2 linked regions of the Arabidopsis thaliana genome follow. The protein of the gene in region 1 interacts with the protein of each later gene in a pairwise test. Each region holds a gene or a part of one and is shown in the gene's direction. Other genes may lie near its edges.

The links.
Region 2: the proteins of SARA1A (region 1) and PRA1.B5 interact in a two-hybrid assay, tested with the Arabidopsis thaliana proteins (one large-scale study listed by BioGRID).

Annotation. Positions count from the first base shown.
Region 1 is NC_003070.9:2,961,099-2,969,908, forward strand, and holds SARA1A (secretion-associated RAS super family 1), read left to right. Parts: upstream 1-3,924; 5' UTR 3,925-4,048; coding exon 4,049-4,177; intron 4,178-4,285; coding exon 4,286-4,417; intron 4,418-4,522; coding exon 4,523-4,843; 3' UTR 4,844-4,874; downstream 4,875-8,810. Other genes in the region: AT1G09170 (P-loop nucleoside triphosphate hydrolases superfamily protein with CH (Calponin Homology) domain-containing protein), read right to left, coding at 108-251, 494-693, 983-1,109; AT1G09176 (uncharacterized protein), read left to right, coding at 3,054-3,506; AT1G09190 (Tetratricopeptide repeat (TPR)-like superfamily protein), read right to left, coding at 5,165-6,619; AT1G09195 (Ppx-GppA phosphatase), read right to left, coding at 7,622-7,660, 7,872-7,979, 8,277-8,396, 8,477-8,557, 8,665-8,706.
Region 2 is NC_003076.8:237,638-246,865, reverse strand, and holds PRA1.B5 (prenylated RAB acceptor 1.B5), read left to right. Parts: upstream 1-4,543; 5' UTR 4,544-4,752; coding exon 4,753-5,424; 3' UTR 5,425-5,654; downstream 5,655-9,228. Other genes in the region: AT5G01660 (influenza virus NS1A-binding protein), read left to right, coding at 102-179, 416-755, 1,119-1,318, 1,624-1,700, 1,796-1,897, 1,996-2,185, 2,273-2,362; AT5G01650 (Tautomerase/MIF superfamily protein), read left to right, coding at 2,833-2,943, 3,418-3,618, 3,743-3,799; BRCA2B (BRCA2-like B), read left to right, coding at 5,955-6,108, 6,195-6,338, 6,474-6,635, 6,880-7,866, 7,959-8,083, 8,171-8,325, 8,487-8,609, 8,682-8,867 and 2 more. UniProt on the Arabidopsis thaliana protein: May be involved in both secretory and endocytic intracellular trafficking in the endosomal/prevacuolar compartments.

The DNA of each region.
Region 1 (8,810 bases):
AATGTGTGTCAATGTTAATTCAGCTTTGTCTAGGTAACCCCTCCGGCAAGGTAGGTCAAGCTGCCTTGAATAACTATGATGACCATTGATTCGAACCTAACCATTACCTTCTCAAAATCGGAGACTTCAAACGTTGGAATACCCATTTCCTCCACAAACACAAGAAAATTTCGAAGATTTTCAAAGTACTGAAACGCAGATAGAGCTGCACCGTCTTGATTAACAAGAGGATCATTTGGAGCTTCGACGACCTGAATCAAGACTGAAACAATCAGAACAAACGGTCCTAATAACAAAGGTATCGGCAACAAAAGAATCAATTTCTCAACCTCTTTTATAAAAATATTACACAAAATGGTTGTACTAATCATGCTTGCACAACTTTATACAAGCAGGCCTAAACGTTTCAAAAAAGTCTTTGAAAAAGTTGAGCATAAAATATTCTGTAATAAAGAAGAGGAAAACATAAGAGAAATTAGGTGAGAGACATTACTTTTGGGACAGCACCAGGTTTAACTCTGTTGAGGACATTGCAGAGTAAAATTCCACTTCTTAATGCAATTCTAAAATCTTCCTCTGAAGGATCTGCTGGCAAATCTCTTCCTCCAACTACACCAAGTGTGTTCCTTACCCACCTTGCTGCTTCATACCTTCTCAAGTCTGAAGGATCTACTGGCAAATCCCTTCCTCCAACTACACCAATTGTGATGATTAAAATAAGCACTTAAAAATATGAAATATGTTTCATGATGATCTAGGTAAACAAATATAAAGATCGTAACAACAAAATTTCAGAAAATCATTGGTGAAACAAGAAGCTCACGCGGTATATGGATTCAAAAAATGCGATGGATCATCCTAAAAAAATTATGTAATCCATCTATATTCCCTAATTCAATTATCAATTACAAACCCTAATCTCAAAAATGGACCAAAAGGACAAATAGAAAAAGAAAGAACAGAGGAATATTGACGAACGTACAAGTTTCATCGGCTTTTTTCAAGCTCGAAGAATCCACACCAACGCTAACTTGAATGTTTCGTTGTTTAAGAAAATCCTCCAGAATCGTCGCCAAACAAAGTTGTGAATCTTGTTGCTCCGTCGCCATTGACAAGAAACGATTCAATGCTCTTAGCTTGATCAACAAGAAACCTGGAAAATTCTCAAACCCCAAATCTCGACCACTAGAATCTCACAACCAAAATTTAGAATTCTTAACTCGAAACAGATTTTTCCAAAACCGAACAAAGAAAATCAAAGCTGTGTAGATAGATACAAGAATATTCACTTATATGTGGAACATTGCTCAGATTTATAAGGAAGAGAAAATATAATGAAAGAAATTGAGAGAGAACAAAAAAAATGTTTGACCCTCTCTTTGTTTTTTTTTTGTTTTTTTGTTGTTCTTTGTATGAAATTAAAACAACAGAAAAAGGAAACGAAGAAGAAGAGCGAGGCATGATTCAGAGGCCCCCGAGTCTCCTGGGTTTCTATAGATGGACAATTTCAATATTATAAATCATTTTCTGTTTATTATTCTTAATTGCTCCATTTTAATATGTACGAACTTCTATAGCTACGGAATTTATAACCCGTTTATGTAGTTTCCAACCATCCACTAGGTTTTATAATGGGAATAAATAAATTTGTACTATGTTTTAACAAAAATTCTTAGCGATTACAATTCCCAGTTGATCTAAACAGAATTTGTATCTCTTTGTACTAATAAGTAATACCATTGTCTTATTAAAATTTATGTTTAAATTTGAAAAGTTGCATGTGTAGCTAGTTATATACCAATAGAAATGTGCAATTCTATGCAGAGCTATTTTACTTCCCTTATAATAAATTAGAAAGTGAAAATAAATTCTGGGGATCTCTAAATTCTATGAAGAAATAAAGGCTTATAATGAAACTCTTGGTTGGACAACTACCTTGTATAACTATTTTTTCTTGCGTATGTAGAGGTGTTTTGAAAGCCAATATAAACATGATTCGATGGTTTTATAACCAGCTGAATAAAAGTCAGCTTGAAAATTTATTTTTAGTTTTCCTTCGAGATATATATAATTCAGTCAACAAGAAATAAGATATTTAGAAATACAAACGAAAAAAGTTTTGCTTTGATGATTGTAACCACATCTTTGAATGTGACCCTATTGATAATCCAATTCATTGAAAATTATATACTTCAATTTCTTGTAGACTTTTTTCAATAATATTAATTCTTTTTTTTTCGCTTTGTGATACATTCATGGAGTACATGATACCAACTCATTCAAAAATTGGTGAAGATATAATATTTTAATGGTGTATATAATACACACGATATTGGGAAAAAAACAGACACGTATTACCACGAAGTTATATGTTGCTATATATCGTATAATGCTTGGAAACTTGAGACTAATTAGTTTAGCACCAGTTGGTAACCTGATGTAGATTATTGTAAAATGATCTGTGATGCGTGTTGCGGGTCGTGAACGGAATGAGAAGAGGTAGACATTGTAATAGGTTAGTTTAGTTTGGTCACTTAATGTTGTGTATTGATTATGCCTGGAAAATGAAACCAATGGAACGTAACTAGACTCATTCAGAAATTAAACGAAATGAAACAGAAATTAAAGATAGTAAATAGACCTACTTAAGTTAATGTTTGTGCTTGTAATGATCGTAAAATTGAACATAACAAAAATACATAAAGATAGATTTAGCCAGGCCATATCCAAAATTCTTTTTTTTCCTCGTGGGACCTATGACCCAAGCAAAGTTGTTGGGCCTGTTCATAGCTAAGAAAAAGTTAGTTGGCCTTTCCTTAGGAATTTTTCAAAATTTGATAAATGAGAGGCTCGACACCTTACATAAACGTAAATATTTCGCTAATATTGCTCTATAGTAGACTAGTAGTGGCATCCATTTCTTTTTTCCTAGGAAATGAAGTTAGATTTTAGACGTTGACCAGATGAAATATAAACAGAGATCGTACTACACAAAAGCTCATTTTTTCCTTTTTGGGTTAGAGCGATAAATAAACATAAAAGAAAAGATTAGTATGGAGATACACAGATTCATGAAACGTATGGTTCACGTATTACTATTGTTACTAGCGATTCATGCGCATATCCAAGCCGTTGCTTCAATCACAAATACTTCTGTCTCAGCCGTCCATCTGAAACCTAATTCCATCTTAGGTAACAAAACGTGTTGTAAGATAGATTTCCCGGTTTGGCAGCGGGAGCTTCGAAGCAGCGGTGGTGGCGGTGGAGGAGGTCGTGGTGGTGGTGGAGGTGGCAGCAGTGGTCGAGGCGGCAACAGCGGTAAAGGGGGCAGTAGAGGATCTTCTAATAGCGGCGGCCGTGGCAGCAGTGGAAATGGTAATGGCGGTACCGGTGGTGGCCATTCTGTAGGAAGCGGGGGTGACTGCTTCAAACACCGTGGTCTCACCGGAACTACAATATTTCTCGTCTTCGTAAGCACTTTGATTCTTTATGCGTTGAAACAGTAATTACATGTTATTTTATTTCTGTTTCAAAGTTAAATACTCCATTGTATATACACTTTGATCATGTCTGTTGAACAATAAAAAAAATGTATCCTATGTGTTTGAATTAAATGTGGGTAGCTTTCCTCAGACGGCTCATAATAATAACTTGTGGAGGAAATAAACTCTCCTGGGTCCTGGCCATTAAGGTTTTGCCACGTGGTATTAAGCCTTTAATCTTAAAAAGTTTAACGTAATAAAAAACATCGCAACGACAAGTTCTAGGATCCGACGGTTCATATTGATCGAATGACGATGATGACTACCAATCACAAGGCTCCGCATCAATTTACCAGTCCCCATTACCCACGTGTTTTTTAATTTCTTTTTTTGTTTGCATATATATACACTAATGTTACAACATACAACTATATCTTCATCAACGAAACGAAACTTTGATTTTGGTTTTCTGTTCTGTTCTTCATCTCTCTCTGTCTCCCGATTCTGTTCTGGTGATTTTTTTGGTTGTTGTGTGGATTATAATCCGATATCAGGAAGAAGACGTCATGTTTTTATTCGATTGGTTCTATGGAATCTTGGCCTCGTTAGGGTTGTGCAAAAAAGAGGCGAAAATCTTGTTTTTAGGCCTCGACAATGCCGGAAAAACTACTTTGCTTCACATGCTCAAAGATGAGGTAGGCTTTATTACTTCTACGCTCTCTCTTCAACTAATATATGTATTACTGAGAAATTTTGTGATTCTTGTAATCGAAGATGCTTTAATATCGCTTTTGGTGTTGCAGAGATTAGTTCAGCACCAGCCAACACAGCATCCCACGTCTGAGGAACTTAGCATTGGCAAAATCAACTTCAAGGCCTTTGATTTGGGTGGCCATCAGATTGCTCGTAGGGTTTGGAAAGACTGCTATGCCAAGGTTCACATCCTAATCCTAACTAGATTACATGTTTTGTGTTTATTGATTTGCTTATGATGGAACCAAAATCAAATCTTTCTCTGTGTGTGTGTATAAACTATAAAGGTTGATGCTGTTGTCTACCTAGTGGATGCTTACGACAGGGATAGATTTGTGGAGTCGAAAAGAGAGCTAGACGCTCTTTTATCAGATGAAGCCTTAGCAAATGTTCCCTGTCTTATTCTTGGCAACAAGATTGATATACCTTATGCATCCTCAGAAGATGAGCTTAGGTATTACTTAGGTCTCACCAATTTCACTACCGGTAAAGGCATAGTGAATCTTGAAGACTCTGGTGTTCGTCCCCTTGAGGTCTTCATGTGCAGCATCGTCCGCAAAATGGGTTATGGCGAGGGTTTTAAATGGCTATCTCAGTATATCAAGTAGGAAACCAAGACAGCATTGGTGATTTGCTTCACGTTTTATGAATCAGACATCTCACTCTCTCTATTCTGGTTTTCTTTTAAGTTTTAATAGTAGTAAGTCGACTCCAAACTTCTTGTGCATTATACTATTGGCGTAGTTGTGTTTCTTTGTTGAAAGAAACCGAACAAAACAGATTTTTGTTCTAATCAATTCATTAGAAACTAATCAAACCTGGTGGCCGCATTTTCACCGAGCCAGAAAAATACAAATGTGCTTACAAATGAACTTGATTACCGTATTTAGCAATAAGTCTGGCCTCTATTGACAAAAACCAGCTACTTCTCAGACTGAAACATCGCAAATGGTGCTTTGGCCAGTAGACTTTCTAAGGCGGTTCTTTTTCATCAACGTTCGTACCTTCTCCACATCTTGCCATCTCCCTTCCTCTGCATACAAATTAGATAACAACACATAATTCCCCGAATTCCCTGGCTCAATCTTCACTAACTCCATTGCTGCAACTTCTGCTAGCTTTACATCTCCGTGGCTACGACAAGCACTGAGCAGCGACCCCCACATTGCCGCATTTGCGTTTACGGGCATATTTTTTAGAAACTTAAACGCCTCTGTGATTCTCCCACTTCTACTCATTAGATCTACCATGGCACCGTAATGCTCGGTTCTCGCCTCAAGTTTGAATCTTTCCATCATCAAACCAAACAATTCCTCTCCTCTCTCCACCTGACCTGTGTATGAGCAACATGCCAAAACCCCCAAAAATGTCGCTTCATTTGGAGCTACTTTCCCTTCCTCTATCATAGCATCAAACAAGTCTATCCCAAATTCTCCCTTTCCGTTTACGGCTGATCCCGATATCAATGTGTTCCATGAAACAACGTTTCTACGCTGCATTTTTCTAAATATAGCCGTTGCTGCCTCCAAGTCGCCGCTTTTGCAGTAGAAATCTACCAAAGCGTTTCCCACGGTGATGAAATCTTTAAACAAACCACTGGATTCTGCGGTAGAATGAATCCATTTTCCGGTATCCAACACTCCTAGAGATGCAGAAATTGGCAAGACTGTAACCACAGTCGCCTCATCAGGGTCAAAACCTTGATCAATCATTTCGCAGAAAAGCTCCAAAGCCTCACGATCTCTACCACATTTAGACAAGCTAGATATCATCGAATTCCACGACACAATGCTTCTTTCGCTCATCTGTTTGAACAAATGAAGACCTCTTTCAACGTCCCCGGAGTCACAGAACCCGCGAATCATAAGATTCCAGACGACAACGTTTCTCTCAGACATTTCGTCGAACACTTTCTGTGCATCACCCATTCTCCCACCGGAAGTATAAAGCTCCACCACCCCAATCCTAATTTTCCCAAGACGGTGGAACCCAGTTCTTATAAGCTCACCATGAACGCATTTCCCAAATCGCAAATCAGAAAGAGACGAACAGGATTTGAGCAAAGGCGCGTAAGTATACTCGTCAGCCCAAATTCCCCGGCTTTTCATGGAAGAGAAGAAAGATAAAGATTCTAGAGGCGGACCGACAAGCGAATAGCATTTGATCATGGCGTTGAAGACCAGAACGTTAGGGTTTTGGATATGAGAGAAGACGCGGTTGGCGTAATCAGAGTTGCTGAGGGATCCGCAGATAGAGATGAAGTGGGCGAGAAGGAGATTGGAACCATGAAGGAAGTGACGCAGAAGATGGGCGTGGATTTCGGGTAAACGGGTTCGAGTATTGTGGCCGTGGAGAAGACGCAGCAGCTTACGCTCGATTTCCATTAAACCTCCTCTGCTCCTCTCTACCACTCTCGCTCAATTATAGTTGTTTTGCGCCAATTTCAAACGCTATTGGTTTAAGAGTACCGGTTAAATATCGGTTTAATTTAACATGGTTAAGTACCATTTAGCTACCCTCGACCATCTGGATTTGCTTATGTTCAAGTAGTCCACTTCTAGTTATCCTGCGGTGGTAGTATTTAAATTTGATACTAGGATTCAAAATGTCGCAACTCAATTTTTTTATGATAGAAGTATAAAACAATATACTACATAGTCAGAATGAGTTACTATAAATAAATATAATTTTTTTGGAATTGTCAAAGCAAATAGTTGATACTAGAATTGTCATTGGTTGCTTCCTTACCATGGTAATAGTATCATTCTTCAGATGAGAATCAAGGGCTTCAACCGCCCCGGCTTCACTCACTTGGTCCTGCAGTCATGTGTAGATGACCTTGATTCGAAGGCAACCGTTTCAACATCTGCTTATAACCCAAATGCACACATCCAGTGGGAAAAGTTAACATGGAGTCAAATCTAGGCAAACAAAAGTACAAGTGAGAGAGGGAATCTTGTGTTAAAAGGTTTTGTTGAATCAAATAGTTAGACAAAAATTTATTGACACAACAAGTCCGTCAGGGTTGGCTAAGATGCTTAATTACCTCTTTTCATTACACCAATTCAATCTGCGTACAATCATAGTTTTACCATCAGTTTCTGGTTTAAAACTGCAAGATCATGAATAATTAAAGACCACCTGACATTTTCGACTTCACAAATTGGACAACGGAAAACTCCAGGAAAGAAACCAACAACTCTCTGTACCAAATTATGTAGAGGTTTAGTTTTGCCGTGACAGAGGAAATGGTTTATGATAGTTATTACTTGTTATATAACATGCTTTTGATCTTTGATGCAGAGAAAGTTTCTCATACCTGCTAGAGTTGCCTCAGTTTAGTCATACCGATAACTCATTGATCTTAGAAACCGTCTGATTGATTTTCAGGAAGGAAAAACAATCACCATTTCCTTTTTGTATAGCTGCTGAGTTCAAAGCAAACGAATACCAGAAAATTATATATGGAGGCTTTGGTACATTAGCTGTTGAGGTAATGTTTCCACAGTGTCTCTATTACTGTTACTAATCGATCATAGATATTTGCTGATAGCTGACAGTTCATTGCATGAAATTCAAACATTTGATAACCAAAGTGAAATTGATCAAAATTATTGGGTAATAATGAATGTTTACCCTTTTAAAATGCTCAACTTCTTTCTCCAGTTGTGATTCATCAGAGTTTTTGTTTACTTGATCTTGACAACCAACCTCTACCGGTTCCTGGTGTTGTCTTTTCAGCACCTGCAATCAAACAAACAATAATCATAGTAAAGTGAAGAGACAAAGATTTAAGACACTGATATTGAGATGGAAATATCCATTTTATCCCCAGCAAGGAAATTAACTAACAAGTTCGAAATTTTCACAAGATTTAAATAAATTGACTAAGAGGTGATCAGCATACCATTAATTTCATTGGAAGAACGAAATGAAGAATGCAGGGAATCTAGGTACAACGGGGTTGATTGTAGAGTTTGAAATGGTTATTATATGGGTTTGCTCAGTGTAGGAAGTAGAATGATTAAAAGATGTACTTACGAGTTTGAAGATCTCGGAAGATTCAATAAATTCAACTTCTTGGAGATCCATATTCTCATTCCGTTGAAGTGTAACTGATAATCGTGTAATCAAACACAAAATTATGAATTTTCGCTTTGCCTGCAACAGAAAACATAGAATCAAAACAACCACATCAACAAATTGATCCTGGTTTGCTAAGCTGATATATGACACACTACCTCCCCAGTGAAGCCCTTAAGAGGTGCACGATCAAGCTTGGGAAACTTTTTTCTTTGGTATCTCACAAGCATAGCTATAAGCTGAAAATAATATGATAGTAATCAGAAAAACAGTAAATTCCACAGCAGTAAAAAAAAAAATGTAAATTGAAGACAAGTTCCTCCTTATAGAGGATTAAGTACCCTACCTCGATTTCCTCAGCAGTGTAGCTGTGGAGATGATCCCCATTCTACGAAAGAAGAAACTATTAATAACAATGTGGACAAAACAAATACTGAAAACCTACAAAAATTTTCTAGTAGAAACATAGAGTACTCTTGGTGATAAGCTTTT
Region 2 (9,228 bases), on another chromosome or scaffold:
GATCTATAGTTAATTGAGACTTGTAATTCCTTCTCGGAAGATTATCATGTCTCTTGGGTGTATCAAAATCAATGGGATCATATTGGCTAAATATTTTGCAGTTGATGCATGAGGTGAAGGAACTCAGGGCATGCGGGCTGGAAAATTCAACCAAGATATGTTACTTGGAAGAGAAGCTGGTAAGATTTTGTTTATTGCTATTTTGATTTTCATTCTTCCTGCTGGAATTCTGTTTGCATGTGTAATATGACCACACCCACACAGATATTCATTATATCAGTGATAATGATCCTCTATCATTTTCAGCTAGGGGTTCATCTCGGTATCATTTTCCCTTGTTTTTGGAACCAATAAGCTCAAAATATAGTGGTGGAGAAACCATAACACTTTTACTTTTCGATATTTGGTATTTCAGGACAAAGCACACAAGGAAATTTATCAATTGACAGAGCGTTGCAACATGCTGGAGTCCATATCAGGTCCTTTAATCACCAAAGCTGGTGGCAGTGATTTGGAGATCCATTCACCAGATGATACCAGCTTAGATCCAACTGAGGCAATTCTTCTTTTAGGGGGATTTGATAAAGACTCTGAAACATGGTTGTCATCAGTGCAGTCATATTTTCCATCCAGGAATGTTGTAAAGGCTCATAGTTCAATGAGCTGTATCCGTTCAAATGCATCAGTGGCAAAGTTGGATGGTAAAATTTACGTCTTTGGAGGTGATGACGGTGGCCGTGGCTGGACCAACTCAGGTACGGCCTCTCTTTTTCTCTTGTTCTTAAAATGAGTTAACTATTTAGTGCATTAGAGCCTGTATACAATACATATATAAACCTATAAACCTTCCAGATATTCTTAACAGACAACTAAAAGAACTAGAAAACGGAATATGGGTGGCAAAAGCATACTACTGTGACTTTCATTATATTACTAAACCAAATGGCTCTAGTATTTTTAGCAAATTGTGAAGTGAGGTGTATTAATTTAGTGCACTTCACTTCGGCTGTGCATATTTTAAGTTAATGTCTACCACTTCACACTTCTTTTTCTCTCTAACCATAATTATTTAAGCCTGATCTTTGATTTCTGTTTTGCCTCTTCTTTTTTCTGTGAAGCTGAATCCTTTAACCAGACTGATGGCCAGTGGAGCTTGTGCCCCCCCTTAAACGAGCGAAAAGGAAGTTTAGGTGGAGCCACTTTGGATGGAAAAATATTTGCAATCGGAGGTGGGAATGGGATGGTATCTTTTTCAGATGTTGAGATGCTTGATCCAGATATAGGGAGATGGATCAGAACAAGGTCAATGGGGCAGGAGGTAAACGTTCTTCTCTATTCGCATGACATATGGTGAAAGCCAAAAATCTGAAAAGTTGTCAATTAGATCCCCACTGGGAAATTTTTGACAGAAGCTCACAGCTAAAAACATAAATTCCCAAAGAGAATCCATTGTTAAAACTACTCTATTTCGCTAAGTTATAATTTCAAGTAAGGAGTGTCAGGTTAACAATAGAAATGTAGTTTATGCTTCCACTCACCTACTGGTTATAAGCCTTAGCAAGATGATACCATGACCTTCTCCTCGGCTTTATTCTCTGAGTTGTCACTGCTCTTTGATCTCAGAGATTTGCAGTTGCGTCCGTGGAGCATAAAAGTTCAATTTATGCTGTCGGTGGTTATGATGGTAAAGAGTACCTGAAGTAAGAACATTTAAGCCTTGTGTTCTATTTTTTCCCCTAATCTTGACACATGTGAAGCTAACAAGAACAATTTATTGGAAACTTACTTTTAACAGCACAGCTGAAAGGTTTGATCCTAGAGAGCACTCCTGGATGAATATTGCATCGATGAAGTCGAGAAGAGGCTGCCATTCTCTTGTTGTTCTGAATGAAAAACTGTAAGTTTCTTCTCCCCATTTTTCTTCTTCTTTGAGAGTAACTAACAGACAAATTTTGGGTAAGAGTTTTAAGGTTGTATTCATATGCACTATTGCAGATATGCGATTGGTGGGTTTGATGGTGAGACAATGGTATCGAGTGTTGAGATATATGAGCCAAGGACAGGGACATGGATGACGGGAGAACCAATGAAGGATTTAAGAGGATATTCAGCAGTGGCAGTGGTTAAAGACTCAATATATGTGATCGGAGGATACAAAGGGGAAGAGGATGACATATTAGACACTGTAGGATCAGTTCTGAACTTGAAATGAAATTAAAACAATTTACATAAGCAGACACGGTTTAATCTTTGATCATGTGTGTGTTTGCAGGTTGAGTGTTTTAAGGAAGGTGAAGGGTGGAAAAACGTGCCTTCTTCCTCGATCGGTAGGCGTTGCTTTCTATCTGCGGTGGCTTTGTAAATGGGGAAACTTTGAAGCTGTTGTTTTTTTGGTGGCCAAGTCATGAGAGACAGAGATAAGCCTTTAGGAGTTTTGATTTTGGGGAAAGAGTTTCCCTCTATGAAGTAGAAGCAAAATGGAAATATCGATTTGCTATAAAAAAGTACAAAAAAACATCTAACCAATTAGGTGCGTTCGGGTCTAGGTCGAGAGATCTATTTTATAAACGTTCCTGGGCACTCAAATTTGAGCGGGCTTTTATAACTAGATTAAGGCCCATTTCTAAACAAAATAATCCAAAATCACTTCATCAGAGCGTTTGAAAGAATCTTCGAAACGAGAATGCAAACGTAAAAACGATGGGCTTGGGCCTAAGCGAATAAAAAAGGTTTAAGGATAAAAGGGGAAAATTCCTGGGTGGTCTTACTCTCTTTATCCGCTTGACTAAAAAAAATTGGCGTCGAGTGATAGAGACGAAGAAGAAGAAGAAAATGCCGTGCCTCAACCTCTCCACCAACGTTAACCTTGACGGCGTCGATACATCTTCCATTCTCTCGGAAGCTTCCTCCACCGTCGCGAAAATCATCGGCAAGCCTGAGAACGTAATCCCTTTTTCTCTCTCGATTTAACCTCTAGTTCGTTTCGTTCTGTTCGAATTTTGTTTCGATTCTTCGTTTTCTCCTGAGATTTGCCTTGTGTGCGTCTTTATCTCTTAATCATTTTCTTCTCCTTATTGAATAACAGCGATTCGAGTGTTGTTTTCTTCACATGCATGATATAGAAACCCTAAGCAATTTTATCTCGTTGCTCCGTTCTATTCTAGTGGTTCACATTTCCGGAGTCTTCTCTTGACTTATTTGTACAATCTTCGTTGGGGTTCTTCTTTTTTATTTTACCACGATTTCTAGGCCATTCCTGGCCCTTGAATTTCTCATTGCTGAAGTTTGTTTTCAAAAACAATATTGGTCTGCTTTGACGATTGCTTGTTTATGTTAGTGATGTTTAAATATTTTTGTCCTGTAATGTTGTTTCTTAGATCATTATCTGATTGCATTGTTCATTGTGGTAATTTGCAGTATGTGATGATTGTCTTGAAAGGCTCAGTGCCTATGTCATTTGGCGGGACCGAGGATCCTGCAGCTTATGGTGAATTAGTTTCTATCGGTGGCCTTAATGCGGATGTGAACAAGAAGCTAAGCGCTGCTGTTTCCGCCATTCTTGAGACTAAGCTATCGGTGCCCAAGTCTCGATTCTTCCTCAAGTTTTATGACACCAAGGCAAGCAATTCCCTCTCTCTGATAACTTTTTTGATGTAGTGACATAACATATGCAAATGTGTTAATGATTTCATATGCCCGATATGCGTCCATGTCTCATTTTCATTGTTCGTTGTCTCTCTAGGACCATCAAAGTCAAGAATATGCACAATGTTTACACGCTTTACACCAGCACTACTAGGTCATGAATAGGGAACAAATACATCTTATGTGTGTAAGTTCATCATCATAAGACGGACCTATAACTTTTACTCATAAACTAGGCATTATAAACAATTAAATCAAATGCATAAACCGTTCCACTACTCGAATTCAATCTTTACACCCACACTGTTGAGTTATTTAGGAGATTCGTTCAACTTCTCTAAATCCGTTGTCTAACTGGCTTAGAGGGTCATCCATCATCTGGAGTGTTTATGCCTATAACCACCTGATATATCAATTATACATTTCTTTTCTCGTGTGGTTCTTCTTGCAGGGATCCTTCTTTGGTTGGAACGGGGCGACTCTTTAATTCCGTGGTAGGTGATTAGTGTGATTGTCTTGAAATGTATGATCTACTCTCATCGATCAAGTAACTTTGAACTACTTCGTATTGTAAACATATCTAAGGTTTGATGGAGTTGCATTAAGAAATAACATTTATGCTATATATGATGCTACAACTTACTATCAGGGTAAACAATGGTTATTTAGTCTTTGTCTACTCGTTAGATATAATTATGTTTAGAATTCGAAGATGAATGTTATCAAAGAAAAAAGGATTTGACATTGTCAAGTCTACTACTCCATATGACAGATCAACATTGTGTTAAAAATATTTTCTATTAGGGAAACTTCCTGTGACTGGAACATTAATGGTCAAATGCACTTTGCCTAAGTAATCAAGAATTATTGTATAAACTACGTTAAGCAAAAAAATAACCTGAGTTATAATATCAGGAGGTTATTTTTATTTTTATTTTAGCAAATGAATATAGATTAGCTATCAGATGAAGCAAGGTGTATAATCAAAGTTGAAAGACGCGTAATTGTGATCCTATATATACATAACACTACCGCAACTTCAGCAACCTCTAAATCATTCGTCTCCTAAAATTTTCCAATCTCAAAATCCCAAAAGAACAAAATCGAATGGTGTCAACAAATCCCCCTGTTCTTCCAATTTCCACCACCGCAACAGACACCACCAATCAGCCTCCGATTGTAACCGCTGTGGTGGAATCGCAACCTCCAGTCGTCCGTGCATTTGTCAACGGTGTGACCGAGACGGTCTGTGGTGGTCTATCTCGTAGCCGTCCGTGGTCAGAGCTCCTCGATCGATCCGCTTTCACAAAGCCTGACTCTCTCTCCGAGGCCGGGACGCGATTCCGGAAAAATTCCTCTTATTTCAGGGTGAATTACGTTTGCATTGTCGCTCTGATCCTTGGTTTCTCTCTTCTCGCCCACCCATTCTCTCTCATCCTCCTCCTATGTCTCGCCGCTTCCTGGCTCTTCCTCTACCTCTTCCGTCCATCAGATCGTCCTCTTATCCTCTTCGGCCGATCTTTCTCCGAATACGAAACTCTCGGTGGCCTAATCCTCTCCACGATCGCAGTGATCTTCTTCACAAGCGTCGGATCTGTATTGATATCCGCTCTCATGATCGGAATAGCAACAATCTGTGTCCATGGCGCCTTTAGAGCTCCCGATGATCTCTTCCTCGACGAACAAGATCATGCCGCCTCCGGATTCCTCTCATTCATCGGTGTTCCCGCGATCCCCTCTGTAGCACCCTCTGCCTCCTCAGCGGCTTCCCCCGTGTAAATTATAGTTCTCAGAATCTGGCGTGTTTAGAGATTTGAAGGTGGAGATTGTTGCAATGTAATTTTCTGTGATACTTGACCATTGTTGCAATGTAATTTTCATTGAAGTCAGTCACCAATCACATTGAACAGATGTTTTAAAATGTCCACGTAAGCAATTATTGTTTGGAACGATTTCGGGTTAGCATTCGTGCCGTTAGTTACCGCAATAAAAGGCCGTGGCAATATCACACTTGTCTTGGAACGCTATGTCCGTAAAAACCAAGCCCAAAGTTAAAATAAAACCACGCGTCTCATAATTTCGGCCCAAATCTTTTTCAACTTTCCCGCCTTTGTCAGAACTTTTAACTTTTTGGATTTTTGGTGATGATTTTGGTTTGGGGAAAGAAAATAAAACAATAAAAATAAAAATTCCGCACTCCCGACTCCTCCCTCTTGGCGTGGTAGGCAATTCTGAATCGCGAGGTTTAGTTCTCCGGCTGAATCATATAACGACGAATCGGAAAACTTGGAAACCCTAGAACTGAATAAATGTCGACGTGGCATTTATTTTCCGATTCCAGCGGCGATGGTTTCCGGTGGGAAGTCGCTGGCCGGATTCTTCAGTCCGTCTCGGATTCTACGCCAACCAAGGCGCTCGAATCGACAGCTCCTCTACCTTCCATGGCCGATCTCTTGCTCCAAGGTGATTCTTCGTATCTTCCTTTTCTTTGTCGAATCGTGTTTGTCATGTGACTCAAAGGAGATTGAATTATTATTTGATGCTTCAAGGATGCTCGAAGCTTATAGAACGGGAAGAATCGATGCCTGGGGAAATCCCAATGTTCAGGACTGGGCTGGGGAAGTCTGTAGTTCTTAAAGAGTCTTCGATTGCTAAAGCCAAATCCATTTTAGCAGAGAATGTTGCTTATTCAGGTATTTTATGTGACAGTATTGAATTCCCTTGACTAGTCATTTGTTTCTGAATTCGCTTGAATTGTTACTTAATGTTGGTGAATATGTGTTCCTGAAAATCTTTTGAATGTTCCATGTTCTTGGCTACACTTTTAGATTTGCAGAACACAAATTGCTCAATTCCCCAAACGAGACAAGTGGATACAGCTGAAACTATGCCAATGTTCAGGACGGCCTTGGGGAAAACTGTCCCTTTGAAAGAGTCTTCAATTGCCAAACCTTTGTCTATTCTAGGAAGTGATATGATAATTGACTCAGGTGTGTTCTTATCTCCTCTTTTTTTAAGTCTTATATCCAGCTGTGTGCGCATTTACATATGAACTTGTTGTTTGTGCTGCTACTCCGTTCAACTTCCAGGTTTCTTGAGTTTGGTTGTTATCAGATAAAACGATGAATAGTGAAGAACTAATCAACACACATCTTACTTCGTTTAGAGAATAAATATTAGAAGTGACATTTTTTCATAGTTTATTTGTTAATAAGATTCTTTTTGATTGTGTAGACAACGTTCTTCCCAGGGAGAGTGGGTTTGGTGTTCCCAACAGTCTTTTTCAGACAGCTTCCAACAAAAAGGTTAATGTATCTTCTGCCGGTTTAGCAAGAGCCAAGGCATTGTTAGGACTAGAAGAAGATGATTTGAATGGATTTAACCATGTGAACCAGTCGTCTTCTTCCCTCCAGCAACATGGGTGGTCCGGTTTAAAAACTCATGAGGAGTTTGATGCTACAGTGGTTAAGCATCATTCAGGAACTCCAGGACAATATGAGAATTATGTATCTGGGAAGAGATCTGAAATCTTAAATCCATCGTTAAAGGTGCCTCCAACAAAGTTTCAGACTGCTGGTGGAAAATCATTGTCAGTGTCAGCTGAGGCGTTGAAACGTGCCAGAAACCTTCTTGGTGACCCTGAGTTAGGGTCTTTCTTTGATGATGTAGCTGGAGGTGATCAATTTTTTACACCACAGAAAGATGAAAGGCTAAGTGATATTGCTATAAACAATGGAAGTGTCAACACAGGTTATATTGCTCATGAAGAAAAGACAAGCAACAAACATACGTCAAATAGTTTTGTATCTCCTCTTCATTCATCTTCAAAGCAATTTAGATCAGTTAACTTGGAGAACCTAGCTTCAGGGGGTAATTTGATCAAGAAATTTGATACGGCTGTTGATGAGACCAATTGTGCTCTGAATATCAGTAAACCTGCTACACATGGACTATCAAATAACAGGCCTTTAGCATCAGATATGGCAGTGAATAATTCCAAGGGAAACGGTTTCATTCCAAGAGCTAGGCAACTTGGAAGGCCTGCTGATCAGCCACTTGTTGATATAACAAATCGCAGAGATACAGCTTATGCAAACAATAAACAAGACAGTACCCAAAAGAAAAGGCTGGGAAAGACAGTCTCCGTTTCTCCTTTCAAAAGGCCAAGGATTTCATCCTTTAAAACTCCTTTAAAGAAAAATGCTCAGCAAGCTTCAAGTGGTAATATATACGATTAATTTTAATTTTAATTTTTTGTTAATCTAATTGGTTGGTTCTCAGATTTATAATTTTGGTGTCCTGTCTATTATCAGGTTTGTCTGTTGTATCGTGTGATACACTTACTTCCAAAAAGGTACTTTCTACAAGATATCCAGAAAAGTCTCCAAGAGTATATATCAAGGAGTTTTTTGGAATGCATCCGACAGCTACGACCAGGGTAAAATCTTTTTGTCCCTTTCACCTGTTCCTGCGTTACATAAATTTTTTCTTCATTCACTCAAACACATTTACGAGGTGGTTTTAGATGGATTATGTGCCAGACCATGTCAGAAGAATCAAATCAAGTAATGCAGATAAATATGTATTCTGTGATGAGTCTTCTTCAAACAAGGTTGGAGCTGAAACTTTTCTTCAAATGTTGGCTGAGTCGGGTGCTTCCTTACAACATGCATCCAGAAAGTACTTTCTCTGTCCCTTGAAATGTTAACCGTGTTATATGTTTATTATATCAGAAAAAGTGTGTGACTGTTCGTTTGAAGCTTGCATGTGATTGTCACTCTATTAGATAGACAGTTTGATGTCTATATCTATTAACTTATCTATCACTACATATGCACTAGGTGGGTTACTAATCACTACAGGTGGATAGTCTGGAAACTTGCATGCTACGACATATACTACCCAGCCAAATGCAGAGGAAACTTTCTAACAATCACCAATGTTCTTGAGGAACTAAAATACAGGTTTCCCAGTCTCACAACACAACTCGTTACTTAAACTCATGCAAAGTCTAACATGGTTAATCTTCTTAATAGATATGAGAGAGAGGTCAATCATGGTCATTGCTCTGCAATCAAGAGGATTCTGAGTGGTGATGCTCCAGCTTCTTCAATGATGGTCCTCTGCATATCAGCTATTAATCCAAGGACCGATAATGGTTCTCAGGAAGCACATTGTTCTGATAATTGCAGCAATGTGAAAGTCGAACTCACTGATGGGTGGTATGAAATTGCTACTGCTGTTCTGTTACCTGTTTTCTTGTCTCATTTCCATAGGATTTTTTTTTAAATCACAGGTACTCGATGAATGCTGCTCTGGATGTCGTGCTAACCAAGCAGCTGAATGCTGGCAAATTGTTTGTGGGGCAGAAGCTTCGAGTAAGTTATATTCATGCAAGATATACTTTGTTTTGCAACACAGATTTTGGTTAGATCACTGACTTGCAGCATGCTTACGTTCTTATCTCTTATCTGAAGATCCTCGGGGCAGGACTTTCTGGCTGGGCTACCCCAACATCACCACTTGAGGTTTCCTAGACTTTGCATTTTATAAGATTTTCTGATATCTTCTCAGGTTGGTTTG